2 linked regions of the Astyanax mexicanus genome follow. The main gene of each other region encodes a partner of the protein of the gene in region 2 in a complex. Links are inferred from orthologs where the notes say so. Each region holds a gene or a part of one and is shown on either strand. Other genes may lie near its edges. The genes, in order: mzt1 and tubgcp5.

What was found.
Region 1: the proteins of tubgcp5 (region 2) and mzt1 are in contact, whole or in part, in a crystal structure (PDB 6L81), measured with the Homo sapiens proteins. The link is inferred for Astyanax mexicanus from reciprocal best matches to the Homo sapiens genes TUBGCP5 and MZT1. Residues at the interface, in NP_443135.3 of Homo sapiens: Gln14, Gln15, Asp18, Val19, Glu21, Leu22, Val23, Val26, Ala27, Gly28, Asn36, Ala40, Phe43, Ala44, Asn47, Phe48, Arg52, Phe53, Leu54, Phe72, Lys80, Ser83, Trp84, Leu87, Thr88, Glu90, Phe91, Ala106, Ser109, Ile110; in NP_001065243.1 of Homo sapiens: Glu23, Val27, Leu28, Glu30, Ile31, Ser32, Ile34, Leu35, Asn36, Thr37, Leu39, Leu44, Ile46, Cys47, Val48, Arg49, Leu50, Cys51, Glu52, Gln53, Ile55, Asn56, Pro57, Glu58, Ala59, Leu60, Ser61, Ser62, Val63, Ile64.

Annotation. Positions count from the first base shown.
Region 1 is NC_064428.1:31,768,543-31,778,924, forward strand, and holds mzt1 (mitotic-spindle organizing protein 1), read right to left. Parts: upstream 4,154-10,382; 5' UTR 3,881-4,153; coding exon 3,829-3,880; intron 2,541-3,828; coding exon 2,395-2,540; intron 2,025-2,394; coding exon 1,995-2,024; 3' UTR 1,561-1,994; downstream 1-1,560. Other genes in the region: bora (protein aurora borealis), read left to right, coding at 7,552-7,704, 8,511-8,617. UniProt on the Homo sapiens protein: Required for the recruitment and the assembly of the gamma-tubulin ring complex (gTuRC) at the centrosome.
Region 2 is NC_064412.1:18,778,128-18,788,607, forward strand, and holds the start of tubgcp5 (gamma-tubulin complex component 5), read right to left. Parts: upstream 4,386-10,480; 5' UTR 4,249-4,385; intron 3,135-4,248; 5' UTR 3,134-3,134; coding exon 3,000-3,133; intron 2,882-2,999; coding exon 2,828-2,881; intron 1,748-2,827; coding exon 1,639-1,747; intron 1,045-1,638; coding exon 948-1,044; intron 862-947; coding exon 782-861; intron 553-781; coding exon 417-552; intron 1-416. Other genes in the region: chst7 (carbohydrate sulfotransferase 7), read left to right, coding at 4,598-5,881. UniProt on the Homo sapiens protein: Component of the gamma-tubulin ring complex (gTuRC) which mediates microtubule nucleation.

The sequences.
Region 1 (10,382 bases), on a different chromosome or scaffold from region 2:
ACATTGCTCGCTATTTGGAAATGTTCACTGTACTGCTATACATGCTGTACACTGACTACTGTAAGCTATATTCAAGTGTCTTTTCTGTAGTGTTATCCCATGAAAAGATATGAAAAAATATTCACAGAAATGTGTGAGGAGTGCAGTTTACTTTTGTGAGATACTGTCTATGTCAAAAGCTGGATGGAAACAGGTGATTTTTTTGTACAGCAAAAATCAGAATCAAAATTGTACAGCCCCAGGCCCACATCAATAATCAGTAGTATATTATAATCATGTAAGTGTCTACTATATATGAAATAAAAAAAATCTAAAACACTGTTATTTTTGTCTTTTTTTTCCAAATTATGTTAGTTCATCACAGATCAGCTGCTCACTATCCACTACTGATTATATCCTAACCAAAGGAGGATGGGTCCCCCATTATATACAGCTCTGGAAAAAAATAAGAGAGCACTTAAAAATGATGGGTTGGATGTGATGGATGATCACAAGCCATCAAACCAAACTGAACTGCTTGAATTTTTGCACCAGGAGTGATTAGCATAAAGTTATCCAAAAGCAGTGTGTAAGACTGGTGGAGGAGAACATGATGCCAAGATGCCTGAAAACTGTGATTAAAAACCAGGATTATTCCACCAAATATTGATTTCTGAACTCTTAAAACTTTATGAATATGAACTTGTTTTCTTTGCATTATTTGAGGTCTGAAAGCTCTGCATCTTTTTTTTTTTTATTTCAGTCATTTCTCATTTTCTGTAAATAAATGCTCTAAATGACAATATTTGTATTTGGAATTTGGGAGAAATGTTGTCTGTGGTTTATAGAATAAAACAACAATGTTCATTTTACTCAAACATAAACCTATAAATAGCAAAATCAGAGAAACTGAAGTGGTCTCTTAATTTTTTCAGGAGTTGTATATTAGTCTTAATAGTACAAGTAATAGTGGTATAAGGTACATGTAAGCCCTGATTTCCCCAGGGTTCCTCCTCCTCTTCCTCCTCCGGCTCTACTACCTCATTTCTGTGAAGCTGCTTTGCGGCATCAGTTGTAAAAAGCACTATATAAATAAACGTTATTTTATTTGATTAGTTCAAAGCTGTTTTTTTAGAACCAATGATAAACTCTAAAATGTGTAGAGCAGCGATATTCAAGGTTTAGGACTGAAAACCACTGAACTTTACCATATTTACCACACAGTGTGGTACATTATCTTCTGCTGTATTTTGTCACCCACTAGTGGACACTTGCTGCAAACACAGATCCCTGCAAATGACATCATATCCTCGCTGTCCTATGAAAAACACTTATCTCCATTTTTGTTCATTTTTTAGTTTACTACATAATTTGAACAGACAAACTGTCCCTCACACTGTGCCACAATTTCTTGATGAACGAACCAATAGAAAATAACCTGAAATAAACTCTTTTTACATTGACTTCCATTGAAAGTTTACAAGGTTTTTTTCTCTCTCCTGTAAAGCTGCTGTTTTGGAGATAAGTGTTTTTTATTGGACAGCGATGATAAAAAAATAAGAGAGCCAAATAATTGTGGAATACAATAATTTACATGTTTTATTTGTAAGAAAAAACACAAACATTTATATTAAAGATGAGTTTTTACAAACAATAGATGAATATTAACACTTCTTCTTCACAAAGCTTCATTACTGTAAGTCCACATGGGGAAGGCCATCACACTGAGTTTCTCAGAAACTGGAGGGAGCTGAAGATTTTGAACAGTGGATAAAAAAAGCAAGGATGACTGAAACCAAGGATGAAATGGTAGTTTGGCTTGATGTGGAAAAACAAACCCACCAAAAAAGTAATTCCCATTCCAAAGCACTGCATGTAACCAGCGATGTGCACAGAGAACAGGTTAAATACCATCATTCAGGTTCATCATTTAATATAAATCAGTCTCTGGAAGAATTCATTCTAAACGATTTTTCAACTACAGGGTTTAGAAGTGGAGACACTATAGACGCAGGTCATCCTTGACTTGTGCTGTTTTCAGAGGCCTGGAACAGATCAAGTTAGACATAATAGGGAAATGTTAGTTCATTAATGACTGAGCACATCTCATCCCTTTTATTTTTATAAACCTGATCATCACATTTTTATTAAGTGGTATATTTTGAATATAAATTGAAAGTTACTTTATTTCAGTAATTCAGTTCAAAATGTGAAACTCATATATTATATAGATGTATTAAACACAGAGTGATCTATTTTAAGTGCTTACTTCCTTTATTGTTGATGATTATGGCTTACAGCCAATGAGAACCCAGAAAACAGTGTCTCAGAAAATTAGAACATTATATAAGACCAATTGGTATTTTGGCAGAGTGGGCAGTTTCTGTTATCTTATGTTACTACACCTTAAGTTACCTTAAGTGTGTCTGAGGCTCTGCGTAGCTCCTTTATGACTGATGAAAGGGCTTCAGGGTTGATTCCTTGCTCACACAGACGAACACATATGGACAAGGACTCCATATCCAGCCCTGTATTCAGAAGCCTGGAGATCTCCAGCAGAACTGAAAAACAGACAAAAAGAACAAGGTTACTGTCTACAAAAACAGTATCACATCCTAATACTGTGATGCTGTAATACTTGATATATCACAAGACAATTCTCTATGATACTAATAATTGTGACTAATCAACCAAACTGAGAATAAGCATGACTGATAAAAAAAATTATAGAAACCAATAAAAAAAAAATTGACCAAACTGAAAATATTTGTGACAAAAAAATAGGTAAATAAAAACAAAAAAATTCAAAATAGAGACCAATTAACTTTGAAATTGAAAACTAGAAAACTTATAATCGTGACTAATCAACCAAACAGAACATAATTGTCACTGATAAATAAATAATAGCAACCAAATGACTAATCCAATATATTAGACTGACTAATACATTAAAATATAATAATCATGATTAATTGACAAAACGGAAACTAATCGTGACTCATGAATAAACAATGGCAACCAATCGAAAATAATAATAATCGTGATTAACTGAAGCCTAACTGAAATAAACAAATAAAGAAACGCCCAATCGACTTATAGAAAAATAATAATTATGACTAACTGGCTAAATGGAGAATAATCTGACCAATCAAAAATAATAATAATAACTGTGACCAATCGACCAACCAGAAAATAACTGTGACTGATACAAAAAAAAAAAACATAACAGCGACCAATTGGCTAACAGAAAAATAATAATCGTGACTAACTGACCAATCAGAAAATAATCGTGACTAATAAAAAAAAAAACAATAGCCACCATATCAAATACAATAATAATCATGACTAATCGACCAAACTGAAAAATAATTGTGACTGATAAATAAACAATATGAAGAAATCCAAATTAATAATAATCGTGACTAATCGAACAAATGGGGGAAAAAATCGACAGATTAGTCGACTATGAAAATAGACGTTAGTTGCAGCCCTAGTGTAACAGTTACTTCTACAAGCTTCTATTAACCTTTAATGAATTAGTAATGAAGTGAACACTATAGCTTAGATGTTAGACTAATAACAGAAAATATTATGCTTGAGAAAAAAACAAACAACATTACAGAAAAACTTCAGTTAAATAAAAACAATAATAAATCACATTTAACACTCTCATTACAGCCAGACAGATACATAGAGCGGTGGGTAAGCTATGCAGGTTATGTTAGCTTCGCTTCGCTATTAGCTTAGCAAGCCTTCTGTATAGGATTTCACTAATATAAGGACATTATTAAACAGAAAATATTAAAAAAAATCAGTAGTTAAATAGATTAAATAACTCTGTTTCCTCACCGTCCATCGTTTCCCGCACAGCGTTCATGTTGGTACTGGCAGCGCTGGCCATCACAACGATAAGCTAACGAGCTAACGTTAGCACCAGCAACAACAAACTATTTAACTTTAGCTATTTACACGCTATTTGTCGTTATATTCCGGGTTTGTCCGACGTGTTTCAATTTTAACCCTTTAACTATATACTTAAATTCTTATTTAGTCTAAATAAACTCATAAAAATAGTCTATAAACTGCAGAAACCTGCTCGTTAGCTGTTTATTCTCATTTACTGTAGCGTTAGCTAGCTTCAACACCACAGCCGGTTTACAGCGAGACGGCCCACTTCCCATCTCACCCGTTAGATATAATAGTAAATTCAGTAAATGAGTTCTGACCGCTAGGGGAAGCCCGCGAGTGAGACCTCAAAAAATGGAAGTGAATGAAGCTAAAGGGCTAAGAACTTAAATAAAAATAGCAGTTAACTATTTTATTGTGATATTTCTGTAATTTTGGAAAGTATTAAGAGAGTTGTGGTACAACACTAAAGAAAACATTTCTATATGGTTACATTTGTCTTCAGGAACAGATTTTATGCTGGAAAGACGCTAGCATTACTGCTAGTGTTAGTTTTGGGGAGCTGATAGATGGATAGACAGACAGACAGACAGACTGATAGATAGATAGATAGATAGATAGATAGATAGATAGATAGATAGATAGATAGATAGATAGATAGATAGATAGATAGACAGACAGACAGACAGATAGATAGATCTCAGTGCCTCGTTTGTCGTATGTCTCGTATGTCAGGAACTACGAATTCTACCAATAAAGTGTGGAGCTAATTTGACATTGTTAATGGTGTAAAAACTTAGTAAGAACTAATAGGACCTCACACACCCCATACCTGCACTACTGCTTATACCTGCACTACCATACCCACTGTTTCCCCCTATGACTGTGGCATTTAAAGAAGTGTATGGACTCATTCACTTTACCAGCCTTAAGCTTCTATACCTCTATATTTGCACTAATGTTTGTACGAGTTCTGTTTAATCTGGTACTGTCATTCTCTCTTTAATCCCCCATCACTATTGTCCTACTGTCCTTATCTGTGACATTGTTGTATTGTACATTTAGTGTGTCTAATCCTTTTATATTTATAATATTATTTTGCTGTACTTGCTGTAACTTTTGGAAGAAGAGTAACGTAATTTCAATTCTCTGTATGTCCTGTACATATGCAGTATTGACAAAAAAAGCTAGACTGGACTTGACTTGAAAAATAGTGATTTCTCATAAGAAACTCTATGCCCCTATCACTAGCATTGTAAACCTGTTGTTTTTTTTTTTTTTGCTTTGGCTAATAGGTGAGGACTATTCAAGAAAAGTTTGTACTCATTATCATGTTTCACTACCCAAGTCCATTTTACACCAGATTACTCCTTTAAATGAATACACTGTAATTTTGCTCAGTTGCTCCATATATTTCCATTCATTTCTGCAGTGGGTATTCTCCTCTATACAGACTCTCTCATAGCTGCGGACTTGAGCAAGCGAGCAAGCGGAAACGACGTCACACACCGAGCAATGATTCTGATTGGTCGCTGTGAGAATCCCGCGCTTGTGATTGGCTGGCGTGCGTTGAGCAAAAATTAAATCAAACGTTTGAACACCAAAAGCAGGCTAGGAAACAGGAGCGAGGAGGAGGTCAGGGTGAGTTCTGTGTTTTCTGTGTTTTTAAGGATTTTATGAGTTTATTCGGGTTAAATCCGCTTTAATCCGGTTAACAGAGCAGCAGTTCACACCTCGCTTTACTGATCCGGTTCTGAATGAGGCAGATAAATGATGAATTAAGCGCTAGAGTTTTTTAATCAGGAGTTTAATCGCTTGTACTGGTACTACTTACTTACTCACTTACTTATTAACTAACTAACGAACTAAATAACTAACTAACTAACTAACTAACTACTCAGAGCTGAGCTCTAAGGGCTGCAGTGTTATAAAGGAAATTTCCTAAATAAGTAAGTTAAATAATCTAACTGACTAGGGGAAAAAACTAGACCAAACTAAAGAAAATAAGTTTCTTATGAATGCTAATATATATATATATATATATATATATATATATATATATATATATATATATATATATATATATATATATATATATATATATATATATTTTTTTATTTATTGATTGATTGATTGATTGATTGATTGATTGATTGTTTTTATTATTTATTTTTACCCATATCTTATTAATTTTTAAAAATGACGTGCACACCCAGAAACTTTGCTTAACTTATTTTGGGACTGTAACGTTTAAAATTAGCTTTTTTTTTTTTAAAGTAAAAATCTGAATTTGTTGTGCTTGAAAAAGGAAGCTAAACAACACATTTATTTTTTACTGTATATTTTTGCTAGAATTATATTTATATTGTTACAAATTATAAATGAATAAATAATGTACTTATGTCCTTTTTTATTTCTTTTCGTATTATTTCCTAGTTTTTAAATTTGTCCCATTTACGGCCTACTTTTTTTTCCAAACAAAATTTTACGCAAAATTTAAAATTAAATAAAATCTCTTTTTTTTTTTTCTTATTTTCTCTTATGTTACTTATTGTCAGTATAAGGGTTACAGTTAAGTTTTCTGATTTGGTGCGAAGTTTTTTTAAATATAGAAAATATTTTTTTTGAAATCCTTTTTTTGTTTTCTTATTTTTTTTAATGTCTGCAATCTGAATTTAAAGAAAAATAGGTTGAAACAATTTTTATTCATGTTTTTTTTTTTTTTTTTTTTTTTTTTTTCCATTTTTGCATTTCGTTACAGAAAATCTGATCTAATCAAACTTGCTTCTATTACAAGATGGGGGGAATATAAAAATCCAGAAAAAATATATACTTGAATTAAATTTCCTAAAATTTAGATTATGAGGAGTAGAAAAGGAAAAACTAAAAAAAAAATTGAATAAATGAATGAAAACTAATTTCTTCTTTACAACACAAAATAAATAAAAAATAATAAAGTTCATACCAGTTTTTTTTCTCCAAAATTTAGTACCAAAAGCCAATATGAAGGGCTTACAAACACTTTTTAAAATTCTGTTATTTTACTTTTTGATAACAAAAAAAGTAATATATATATATATATATATATATATATATATATATATATATATATATATATATATATATATATATATATATATATATATATATTACATTTTTATTTGTATAATTGTGCAGATATTGCATGTAAATTGTACTTATTCATTCTTCATATATCCTTTAAACTCAAAATACCTATAGAATAATGATTGTCAGCAAAAATAAATATTACTCAACAATATACCAATAAATGACAATCTTTTATAATGACATTGTTTGTGTTTTTTTTTTTTTTTTTTAATAAATCTTTGTTTCTTAATAAAACATATTGTCACTCTGCAACACATTAGTTAAAGATAATATAACATAGCTATAGGAAAATACTACATATTGCATCTTTAAGTACATTTTAATTAGAGTATTTATGTTTTTTCTAAGAGTATGGGACTATTTATCATCACTGATGAATGGTTCTGCATTGATTTAATAAGCTAATATGAACGTGTGAAGTGAGCCATTAGCATTCCCTGATCTAACTGTCTCCTCGTTTCTTGCTGTCCTGCCTCATGTTTTAAAAGCCTGAGGATTTCCTCTGCAGCATTAGGTGAAGATCGTTCAGCACAGAGGATGGGAGATGTTGTTGAGGTCCAGATCACTCCTGAAACTCCAGGAAGGCCGTCCATCCGTAATCCGTTCGAGAGTCCCACTGACTACCACCACCTGCACGAGCCCCTCGTCCCCAGCCCTTCTGTGTTCAAGTGCGCCAAGCCCTCGTCAGCTGTGAGTAACCACAACGGGTTTCCTACCAGGCCATTGTCTTCAACCCCATTGTTAATGTATCTAACCTGCTGAAAAAACAAGACGGACAAGCTGGTTAAGCTTGTTGACCAGTACAGGGTTTGTTTGCATTAGTTTAGCTGGTGTAACTGGTCTTAAACAAGCTAAACAACCAGTTGGACCAATCTTGACCATGCTGTAGGCCTGTCAAGATAAGAATTTTTGTGGACGATATATTGTCCCAGAAATTATTGCGATTCACAATATTTTTGTAATTTTAAGACTATTAAATGCAAATGACGTTATGATGAGCATAAAAAAGTAATTCTACACTTTTTAAAGATAGCAAAAACTTTAATAATAATTTATTATAATTAGTTTGGGAATCCCTACTTTAGTCCAGACTGTGTGTATGAAGTCACAGTTATTGAAGCATGACTGGCTAAAATACTGTTCACTCTTATAAACATACAAATAAGCACAATAGACGATATCACGATTATCAAAAATTATTGAGGTCATGTTCATTTATTGTACGATAAATCGATATTGCAATTATTGTGACAGGCCTACCATGCTGTTTTATTTTTTTAAATCTCTTTACATTATACTTTAATACTGAAGTCATCCAGACTATGAAGGAACACCTAAGGAATCATGTAGTAACTTAAAAGCATTAAACGAACCAAAATACTCCTACTTGCAGTTTGTGACGCTGGTAACTCTGATAAACTTGCTCTTCCTTTCCTGTGGCAGTGATAATATAGTATCGGGCATGTTGAAACTTTTTGTGTAAATTTGTGTTTCAGACCCCAGCCAAGTTTAAATGGTCCATAGACGAGTTGGCGAACCTTCTCCCGGTGCACATAGACCCTGAGGACATTCACCGACAAGCATTATATCTGAGCCAGACCAGGTGAAACGTGCTGAGAGTAAATAACAGCTGGAAGGTTTAACCTCATTTTGAGTCTGAAAAACTGGCTCCAAATTAGGGCTGGGCGACATGGTAGAAATATTGTAATATTGTAATATATATATATATATATACACATATACACATTTTTACAAACAGATAATTATTATTATATTATTATAATGCATTAGAAGCAGCAGATTCTTAAAAATGCAAATAAAATTTCCGTTATTTAAAAGACGGACTAATATATATTTTTTTCAATATTTTTCTTTCATTAAAGGATGTTATGTAATAACAAAAGTTTGGGAGAAGGACCACGCCCCAACTCTACGTTCTAACTCCACCCCGTATCAATCAACCGTCCTATAAATACCTTCCCTAACTAACTACCTCTCGTGACGAAAGTTCGCATCAGTCGAATCTGCCGCACCCGCCTGCTAGCATTAGCTTGTTCTCCGTCATGGACCTTTAACTCACCGCCTCCGACGAGGACCTCTTCCCTCCTAGCCAGCCTGTCTCCACTCCTGCTCCACCTCGCCGGGCTCATCGTCTGAAGTTCGTAATCTCCATTCCGGCTACTCCTGGTTCTACTCCGGCTACTGCTTATTCTTCCTCCCGGGTCGGTCGTCCTAACCAGTGCATCCCCGGATCTCGGCACTCCCGCCGCTCTTCTCCCCCTTCCCCTACTCCTCCTGCGCGGGCTCGCCGCTCCGGACGCCCGTCTTTCTCGGCCGGCCTCGCTGGCCCTGGGCCCCTCTCTTCTAGTAAGTCCCAGCCTCCTCGCATGTCCGATTGGACTGTTGTTAAGCTGCAGCGGGTTTTGAAGGACTGTGGCGTCCCTTTCCCCCGTTCTGCTCCAAAGGCGGAACTTTTTCGCTGTACCTCTCCGGGTACCGGCGTCGCGACCCGATGACGTCACCCGCTCAACTCGCTGCCGCGGCAGCTCTTGCGCTCCTGGCGCGGCACCAACTTCGCCTGCTTCAGCCTCAGTGCCTCGTCTCTCGTCCCTCGTCTCTCTCCTCTCCCCCTTCCCTCATTCATCCAACCCCTCCCTCTCCTCTTTGAGAGGTGAACAGCGCGCAGGAGCCGCACCGGCATCACGGCCCGATGACGTCACTCGCTCAACTCACCGCCGCGGCTTCTCTCGCGCCCCAGGCGTGGCACCCGTCCAGGCGCGGCACCCGTTTCAGCCTCAGCGCGTCCTCCTCCGGGCCCCGAACCCCTCCCCTTCTCGTCTGCCTCGTCCTCTCCTTCTTCGTTGCCAGTCCGGGCCATTTTCTCTCGTCTCTCTCACGGCCCGATGACGTCACTCGCTCTACTCACCGCCGCGGCTGCTCTCGCGCCCTCAATTGTCCAATCCCCTCCCTCTCTCGTCCAACCCCCCCCTTCCCTCAATCGTCCAATCCCCTCCCTCTCTCGTCCAACCCCCCCCTTCCCTCAATCGTCCAATCCCCTCCCTCTCTCGTCCAACCCCCCCTTCCCTCAATCGTCCAATCCCCTCCCTCTCTCGTCCAACCCCCCCTTCCCTCAGTCGTCCAAACCCCCTCCCTCAGTCGTCCTCCTTCTCCACTTCTGCGTTCCTCCTGCTGTTCTCCAACAGTGTTGCCAACTTAACAACTTATTTTTGGTTTTTAATTGAGACTTTTGACAACTCTAAACGAACACGCATGCTCTTCAGTTTCTGTCCTCAGGGAGCAGCAGCTGCTGCCGCGAGCCCCGCCCACAACACTCACGGTGCAGTCTCAGTCAGAGCACACCCACACCG
Region 2 (10,480 bases):
CGTCCTTTGCAGTATCTATAGCTTTACCCAAAACAGCTAACTAAAACATATTTTGTTGACTATACTATTGTACAAATTACAGAATGTGACTTTTTATATACTTTCTAGTCGTGTAAGAATAACTATTATGGTTTGAACAATATATTATACAGAAACAATTGTGAAAAACATTATCGTCACCTAAAGAAATTTTAATGCCATATATAATAATAATATAACATCATAATAATGCAAAAAAAAGTCATTTTCACTGAACTGTACTCCTTGCTAAGAAATCATAATGGGTAATACTCAGGTCAGCAAAAAGTATTTAGTTCATGTTCATATATTGCATGTCCAATATTATCTGGTGTTACATTATGTGAATTTGGATGCAGTTTAGTTCCTTTATTAGTGTTAAGTGTGTGTGCCCTTACCAGCCCAAGTGACTTGTACTGTCTTATTGTTTTGTTCCTGATCTTCCTGTGGTGTTCTGTCAACCTGTATCCCAGAATCCTCTCTGCTGATGGGCTGCTGACTTTCTTCTTCCTCGCTTCCATCCTCTGACCACTCCTGAAAATAAATATGTACAAATATATATTCACTACATCTGTAAATTACACAGATTTACAGCTCAAACCTTGTTAGGTTATTAGTCCAAGATGTAAATTGAAAGCTATAGCTGTTTATGTCACTGGCAGGCTAAATAAACATGTGCTAAAAATATATGTTTTACAATACTGCAGCAATACACAGTACACAGCAATACACTAAGATTTATTGTTTAACTCAGCATACTCACTGGAGTGTCAGGAAAAGGCCCTGTTTCAATATCCTCTCCTTCCATTAAGTACTTAGCCCAGTCAAAGGTGTCTTTCATTTCTGCAACGATTAGTTTTATTTGACTAAAGATTTATACATTTACTACACAAGTCAGAACACACAAGTATTGACACAAGAAAACTTACCAGATTCTTTTAGTCTGGGCCTTTCACTGTAGTTAGTATTACATGGAGAATCAGACAGGAAGAGTAACAGCGCCAATATCCCATGGTGGATATCAGTCTATACGAAACAGTAAAAAGCCAACTTTCAGTACATACAATACAACTCAAAGGTTTGGATACACCTCTTCTCATTCAATGTTTTTCTTTCTTTGTTTCTTTCCCTTTGAGGTTTTCCATGGTGAATTTAATATTGAAGACATTAAAGTTATACAGAAACATGTAAAGTTAGTTTTGAACAAAAAGTGGTAAACAAACCAAAATATATGTGTGTTTTATATTTTAGATTCTTTTAAGAACCACATTTAGCTTTGAGGACAGATCTGCACACTCTTGGTGTTTTAATCTCGGTGTCCTTATGAGGAAGAGTCATCTGGATTAGTTTCCTCAGCATCTTGAAGAAGTTCCTGGAGGTGCTGAACAATAGTCGCTGCTTTTCCTTCCAAAAGCTCCAGCTTATCCTAAATCTTTATTAAGTAATCCCATATGTGTCCCTTAATTGTTTTCACGTCTTTAATATTAATCTACAATGTAGAAAATAAATAAAAGAAAAACAATAAATGAGAAGGTGTGTCCAATCTTTTGACTGGTAGTGTATACTTTGCAGGTTTCTTAATGTTTTAAAGTAATCTAGTATGATTTTAGAGTGTTTTACCATGGTACCCTCAGCAGTAGGAAGAGGGGAGTTCAGGAATTCCTCAGTCAGTCGTGTCCAGCTCTCTGCTTTACACAGGTCTGAGTGCACCATGAGTTTCTCATATATTCTAAGAAATGCAAGAGGTGAACATGTTATCAGTTTGTAAACTAAGCATAGCTGGAAAGGTAAGAACATGTGTCTCTGGTAGTTTGTTTCTTCGGTAATAAATCTTATACCTTTTGAAAGCCTGTTAATTTCTCTTTAATTTGTAATGAACATGCATTTGTGGGATAAGCAGCAGAGCTGAGTATGTGTGTTGTGCCCGTGACAAATTTGCCATTCCTCTCTGCCATTGCCAAACAGCTCATCTGTCCTCTTCTTGACTAATTTGGTGTTTGACCATCTTCTTGGGCCGCTAACTTTTACAGACATCCCCTGTAGCCTTCAACTTAGCCTTTAATTTGAAGATGCTACTATGGCTCACTCCAAATAACGCTGCAACTTTTTTTTTTGGAACACCAGCTTGAAGTTGGCCTTCCACATGGTCCCTATCCAGATCAGACAAATGTAGCATGCCTATACTTTGAGCAGACACCAACTGACCACAGTAGCATAGCCCATGCTCACATGCACTGCTAATAAGGCAGCACCCGGGGGAACCAGTGGCTTAAAACAAGGGTTAATAGCAAAATAAGCTGTATAATAATAAGAATAAGAATATTTGGCCAATTTTTCATGCAATCCACATACTCAGCACTGCTGCTCATCCCAAAAGTATGTGTTCCTTAGAAATGTGGCTCCATTAAAAATAATAATAAAGAGGCTTTATAGTTGTATGAGATTTAATGTCAAGAAGTATTGTTACAACATAAGCCCTATCCAGATAGGATTAGTTTCTCAGGAGGATGTCTATGAAAAATATTTCATACTTTCACTTAGTGGTAAAACCTCTGCATCTGGAGTGAAATTGAAAAAACAGGAGGACCAGTGAGTTTTTTGAGACTTTTGCAGTCACATGACATCGCGTTCAGCAGCTCCTCCATTTCCATTCGCTGTTGTGTGGAAACGTGGAAACGTGCGCCCAACATGACAAATAGCTATGTTATTAAACGCGTCCGGATAGGGCTTAAGAAATAATCTTCCAAACACAAATCTCCTTACATTTTGTGTTATGTTTTAATTAAATTAAACACAATCTTATTCTCACCCATTTATTGAGCGCTGCACATTGTGGCTGCTGACATCCAGGAAACGGTGAAACCTGGCAAGATAAAGAAAAGTAAAAATCAACTCTTTAAGGACAATTTAATACAGTAAAAAACATATAATTACAAACATGAACAGCTTAAGAATACAGCCTGAGCCAAACATGTCCTTACTTGAAATTTGACCAGGCGAATTTGAGAGCCATTTGGAAGTTTTGGTCCTCTTCATCTTGAATGCCAGTCATGTGTGCTATCAGTCTCTTCACCTCCTGCTCCAGCTCCTTCTCAAATTTGGTCCAGTGAGCCATCCTGCAGACACTTAGCTAAGTTAGCTAACTAGCCAATTGTAAATACGATTTTAAAATTTTAAATTACTCTTATATCTCTTCCTACTGCCATTCTGGCTTCACAGGTCTAGCTGAGCTGATTCTGTAGGTTTTCACTACGTTCATTTTAACAGCGTGAACCTTGCTTACTATCGTTAGCTAAGTTAGCTAGCCAACCGCTTAGCATCATCATAACGGCGGTTTCAGTCATACAGCTAAGACCTAGCAGGCTATCTAACCCAGCGAGCTCAGCGAGCAGGTCCTCCCCTCACAGTATTCACAGGTGCTGCGGTTATTTCCCCCCTTTACTCAGTGCTTGCTATAATAATCCTGTCGCAGTTCAGTCTCGATTTAGTGAACTGATTCGCTGCTCATTCAGTTCAGCCCGTTTCTCCTTCTTGCCGCTCAGCCTGTTTTGATGCTCCTTCTGTGGTTAAACACGAACGTATCAAGCATTAGCAGCTCTATACCGCCTCCTAGCCAACCTAGCTATAACTGATCCCAGATACACTGAGGCCCATAGACATCTATCTTGAAGCCCAATCCCATTAATAGTTTGTACCTCTACCCCTTGTTTTAAACTGTAGCCCCTTCCTTTGGAACAGAGTTACAAGAAGAAGGGGTGAATCATCCTCCTCAGAATTGGATGAGGATTCAAGAACAATAGATAGCAATGGAGCGCTATATAAGTTAAGTAACCTAGCTGCTGGGACTCTTTATCATGTTTCAGTAAACCCTAAGTCCAATTATTCTTCTTTAAACCATTGCTAATGTTTAAACAAATGTCACATTTTTGTGGTTCCTGAAAAACGTAGAAGTTAAGCGATTATTTTGGGAAGGTTTTGGTATGCACCCTTACCTTGTCTTTATTAACCGACTTATTTTCTGGATTTGGGAATTTTGCCTATTTGTGAACTTTTGTGCTTTCATATTTTGCATTTTTTTGTTTTTCCAGGATTCTATTTTGTGTGCTTGTGGTCTTATTCTGTTTGGTCTTTGCCTGATGTTGGCACCCGCTTTGTGATTTTCTTATCTTGCTTTTTTCTCTAGGCACAGGCATTTTAGGTAGCTTATCTGATCATGAACTTTTGTTTTACCTGTAGTTTCTTCTCTTTTTTTGCTGATTGTGAGCTCGTATTTTAAAGGCTGCTGGCCTTTATGTTGTGTTTGTGTGTCTGCTAGTGTACTCTACAGTCTCTCTCTCTCTCTCTCTCTCTCTCTCTCTATCTCTCTCTCTCTCTCTCTCTGTCTCTCTCTCTCTCTCTCTCTCTCTCTCTCTCTCTCTCTCTCTCTCTATCTATCTCTCTCTCTCTCTCTGTCTCTGTGGTGTGGGCGTGTTTGTTCCCTCCCCCTCTTCCAGAAGTAGCGGAGCTGAGGGCTGTTGATAGTCCTGTGTGTACCGGGGGCGCCAGATCCGAGTGGATCGCCGAGCCGAGCGCTGCGGCAATGAAGAGGAGGCTTCAGAAGAAGTACATCATCCTCATCGTCGCCTACTCGGTCCTGCTGCTGCTCGTCCCGTACGTGCTGGACTACCGCGGTCACTCGGCTCACGCCAAGCATGCAGTGCAGCAGCAGAGGTGCCCCGACCTGGAGAACACTATGGCGCTGTGGAGCGGCATCGGCGGCGGAGCGGCAGGAGGAGCCGGAGGAGGAGGTAACGGTACGGAGGCGGCGGGCGAGGACGGCGGCATCAGGAACGACACCAAGATCCACATCTATCTGCACGCCACGTGGAGGACGGGCTCGTCGTTCCTGGGCGAGCTGTTCAACCAGCACCCGGACGTCTTCTACCTCTACGAGCCCATGTGGAATATGTGGCAGGCGCTGTACCCGGGCGACGCGGCCAGCCTGCAGGGCGCCGTGCGCGACATGATGAGCTCGCTGTTCCGCTGCGACTTCTCCGTGCTGCGGCTGTACGCGGGCGCGGCCAACGTCAGCACGGCGTTCGTGTTCGGCTGGAAGACCAACAAGGTGATCTGCTCCGAGCCGCTGTGCGCCGCCTACAGCAAGCGCGACGTGGGGCTCGTGCAGGGAGACGTGTGCGCGCGCTGCCCGCCCCGCGACCTCGCCGAGCTCGAGCGCGAGTGCCGCAAGTACCGCGCCGTGGTGATCAAAGACGTGCGGGTGCTCGACGTGGGCGTGCTGGCTCCGCTCGTGCGCGACCCCGCGCTCAACCTGCGCGTCGTGCAGCTGTTCCGCGACCCGCGCGCCGTGCACAACTCGCGCCTCAAGTCCAAGCTGGCGCTCGTGCGCGAGAGCATCCAGGTGCTGCGCAGCAAAAAGCACGCAGACCGCTACCGCCGCCTGCTCGCGCCCGGCGCGCGCGCCAACCGCGCCGAGAACTACGTGGCCAGCGCCATGGAGCTGATCTGCGACGGCTGGCTCGGAGACATGCTGCTCGTGGCCAACGCGCCGCCGTGGCTGCGCAGGAACTACATGCAGATACGCTACGAGGACCTGGTGCTGCGGCCCGTGGACGAGCTCCGGCGGCTGTACCGGTTCTCGGACCTGCCGGTGTCGCCCGAGCTCGAGAAGTTCGTGCTGAACATGACGCGCGGTCGAGGATACAGCTCGGACAAGCCGTTCCTTATCTCGTCCCGGGACGCCAAAGAAGCCATCTACGCCTGGAGGGAGCGCCTCAACGTGGAGCAGGTCAACCAGGTGGAGGCCTACTGCAGCGAGGTCATGCGCCAGCTGGGCTACCAGAAGAGGAACCCGGACCAGACGTAGAGTACAAGTAAGCAGAAGGAACCGTGGAGTCTGAGCATGTGTGTTTGTGTGGGCTGATGTTTACATAATTTTCACTCTAGTGTCTAGTAGAGCACTGAGGAGGATCTAGTGATCCTGGAGGGCTAAACTCCAGCACACTTTTGAGCTTTACCTGCTCAAACAAGCCCAACTTCATCCCACTCGTTTATTTTCAAATTTCTAGTGCTAGGACAGAGGAATCAGCATAAATCTGTGCTGGCCTCCCTTGGCTCCAAACCTCTGAATACCCTCGCTAAAAATACCATATGCTTGAATCAGTAGGCATACTGCATTGACCAGAAACAATAATCAAACATCCCACCAAGCTAGTTAGCAGACAGCAATAGCAATGGCATACATATATGGTGTGTGGAAACCCGAGCTAGTCTTCTATGTATGCAAAATTTGTGTGAGTGGCATATGCATCTATGTGAATCGCTTTTTGGGTGTGCTTGAAAGTTTTAATTAGGTCATGTGTGTCACACGGCCTAAAAATGGTTTAGAGATTTGCTCCAGTCATGATCTAACACATTTAGCTAGTACAGATAATAAACGTCAGCTTAGTCCTTAGAGACCTGCAGGTGGTGTACACCTGTGGGGACCTAAGCATACTTGTGTTTTTCCTATTCAGCCCTCTCAGACAAATTAAATATCTGTGTATATTTAAACAATTCAGCTTGTTTAGTTTAAATGTTCCCTGGTGGTAATAATAGTACTATATAATGACTGTATAATATCTGGGTAGTTTTGAAAGTTACAGAATAAACTGTTCACACCCACATAAGTACAGTCATTTGGATAATCAACAAGATATTAAATAATGAAAAGTCTTTGCACCAAACACACAAACATTGCAGTGTGTGACTTCACTGAAGTTTGACTTCAGCTTAATTACTGCTGAAATCTCCACACAGCTGATCCAATCAACTAGAAACACCTACTTACCTGGTACAGGTGAGCCTGGAGGTCCCAGAGGAGTGTACTGGGAATTGCTGGTCTGAAATGATGAGGTATGGTGACTGAGCATCATCATAGTGTAAACTAGAAGAGTGTACCTTTTAGTGGTTTATTTTTTATTTTTTGATACTGAAGCTTTACTATATTTTTCTATATATTTCTTGTCAGGAGAAGGGAGTAGGCTATACACACACATTCACACAGGGAGTACAGTTTTACTGCTACTCTAATCTTCACATCATTTAATCAGACCAAACAGACACTCTGTAACTTCTATTACAGTGCATGACAACACCACTTTCGCTTTCCTGTGTGTGTTGCGTGGGGAAAAGCAGTGTGGCGTGATACACACTGAGAGTCCAGCACTCCAGCATACAGCGCAACAGGCCACTGCTCTTATTATAATATGGTAAAAATAATCAGATCCCTGATCTCTGTTTTTCAAAGGAGATCACATTAAGAAGATTGAGCTGGTTTGTTGTCTATCCTATCAAAAATGAATGCTCTTTAAAAGGCTGTTATTGCATCATTTTGCTATTATATTATAAGATCAAATACGAGAGGATAATCACCCTAGGGATATGTGTACATAGATTTTGCATATGCCAAAATGGAATACTATCATACTAGACAGTCATATAGAAGTCCTAACAGTATACCAATATTAGTATTGTAGTTATTATTGCAGTATAGTAGTGTAATTTTTTTTATCAGTTGAAAAATACGTCAGTCGGACCAATTAAATTCAAATGAAGTCTTAAAAGAAACACCAATACTGGTTCACAGTTCTCCAGCAGACAGCAGTTCATGCCAACTATATACTATAACTAAAATGTTCATATCATAGGTCAGCATGAGGGTTTGCTTAAATTGCTGGAAGGTTTTCCAGGTCATCAAGTTGTCCAGCTGTAGCAAGTCCTGGTACGATTTTGGAGACGGTTTGCCAGGAGGCAGTCTGACAGTAAACAGTGTTGTTCCACCACCTCCATCAATACTACCCTGTGTTTATACACCATAGCTGTATATAGTTGTAGCCACAATTGTAGCCATTTTTGAATCGCTTGACTGACATCCCTTAACAAATCCATTGTTAGTGTTTGCAGAGCTGCTTTTGTTTGGGTTTTGTACATTTGTGTTAGTTTCTTATTGGCTCTAACAAAGAACTTTAGTGTTCTCATTTGAAATACCATATAAAGCATATTTAAACTAATATTACAGGTCCAGTCTTATTACTATTCAGTGTACACATTACCGTATGCTGTTTTCCCAACTGCCTGCCACCTCCTATTTTCCACAGAGTCCCATGGGAAGCGACTGCTCAGTAAAAAACAGTGCATGTGCTTTTTTGGCACAGTGGGATGAATCCCTCGGAGTTCAGAAGAGCTCCTTAATGTCTGTTCCATCAGCAGCATTATTGAACTAATCAGATTACATTACAAAAGAAGAGATTAAATCCATAAACAATGAACTAAAACAAGCTCCACACAGTATTTTGTAAAAGCTGAAAATAAAGAGGAACCAGAGAGAGGAGCTGTGATGCATAGATCAAAAAGTATTAGGTCAGGATAACGAGACATCTAACATCTAAAAAGAGCAGCATTTTCTCTCAGTTCCTCCAAACTCAACACTATAACATGACTGACAGGAAAGTTACGTTTTGTCGCAATATAGCAATTGTGAAATGTGGTAGTCAACATACAGTAGTTCAGATCATCATCATCTGCTTTCTTTATCTGGCAACCAATCAGGGCTAGAAGAGAAAAAAGGTAAAGGGGTGGTTTTGGAGGGTGGAGGTGCCTCCATATCAACAGAAAAAGATAAGAAAGTGAGCTATAAAAATAAACTGTGTACAATGGCATGCTACAGTTTAAATACCAAATACTTCATAGTTCTGTTTTTTTTCTGTTTGAAGTAAGGAGAAAAAAAGAAGTACCATGCAAATGTAAGGCACCCCCAAGATATTTGTTTATAATCATCATTAAGAAAGGCCAGATGATGAAAATTTCGGAATTCCTGCCTTGACAACCAACAGCCATTGGCTCTTCTAAACAACTGCCTAGAAGGGGTGTATAAAATATGGTTGCCTGTAGACAATGGTACAGTTACAGTATAGCCGGTACAAACCCCTACTGCCTAGCATACCAAGCATTAAAATAATTAAGGCCCGCTAAGCAGGAGAAAGCTTTAAGAACATGGCAAAACATTTTGAGATTTTAATTTGAGCCATTTCCCTAGTTCATTTTGAAATTAAGAAATACAAGTTAACAGGAACACAATAACAGGAGAGAGCTCATAGAGAGAACTGCTTATTGGCTTAAAAGCCCCATTTGCCTAAAAGAAACCCTTAAGCAGTGATAAATATTGACAAATAAGTATGACCTTTACAGAGTCATTCCTTCCCTGTGCCTCATGATGCATTTAAACAAATCCTGTGGACTGGTGAATTTAAAATAGAGTGTTTGGTATAAACGAGCAAAAGAATGTTTGAAAAATAAGGGATGCAGTAATTAAAAGGGCTGTTATAATAATTTTGTTATGTACTTATTATACAATATATGAGATAAGCTAAATCATTTATGTTCGTCCATTGTGTTTCCTTACAATTGTTCAGATGCACAAAATTATATATACCTCTTCCATTATTAATGAAAAGTTTACTGTGCTTTAAAATTGTGTAATGGCATTATTATTCTATTAAATTATTATTATCAGTTGTGTAAATTGGTCAAGTAATATCCTTTATTGTGTTTTTTTCTGGGACAATATATCTTCCACAAAAATGTGGTTATCATCACTAGTAATGAATAAAAAATATTGTTCTCCTACTGTTAAGCATGTAGTGAATCAATCGTGCTTTGGGCAAAAGAAAGATTGAATAGAATTTTTAAAAAATAGCAAATTTTGGAACAAACAACACATTAACTATTCACACTAAGATTTTTAACTGTGGTGCCCAGACCATAGCATGATATTATAAATATATAATATTATAGAATAAAATTAACAGTTTTGTTTTTTGTTAAGGTTTTTTTCATATGTGATGAGCTACTGTTCTCATGTTTTGGCAACAGAGTTTTGTTTAGTGTTATTTTTCATATCAGCACAAAAAGATCTCCTTTATCAGTTCAGCTCCACCAACCTGGTTTATGTGAACACAGCCTAAGGGGAATCAGTTCACACAAAACATTTTTTTTTAAATCAAGAAACTTGCAAAAAGAAGCCAATAAGTTTGGATACTTATTATCAACAATATAACACTAATTATAATAATAACTAACATTCTGAATAAATGAACTGGAGCGGTTAAGAACCAGCATTTTCTAGCTCCAGTCTAGAAGGTCCAGCTGCATCAACACGTTTTGTTTTCCCTCCATCTGAGTAACATGTTTAGCTGAATCAGGTGTGTTGTAGTAGGAAAAACCTGGAGTGAACACCTGTACGTGTATGAGGGCTAGAGTACTGGAGCTAGAATATGCTGAACAAAGCAAATTCCAGCTAATAGCTTAGCAGCACATTTCCACTCTCCACTTGCTATCCAAGATATTTCTGTCTCTAAAAATGTTTTTTACTGAAGATAACTATCTAAATGTAGGCTGTCATACTCCAACTACACAGCAAGCAAAA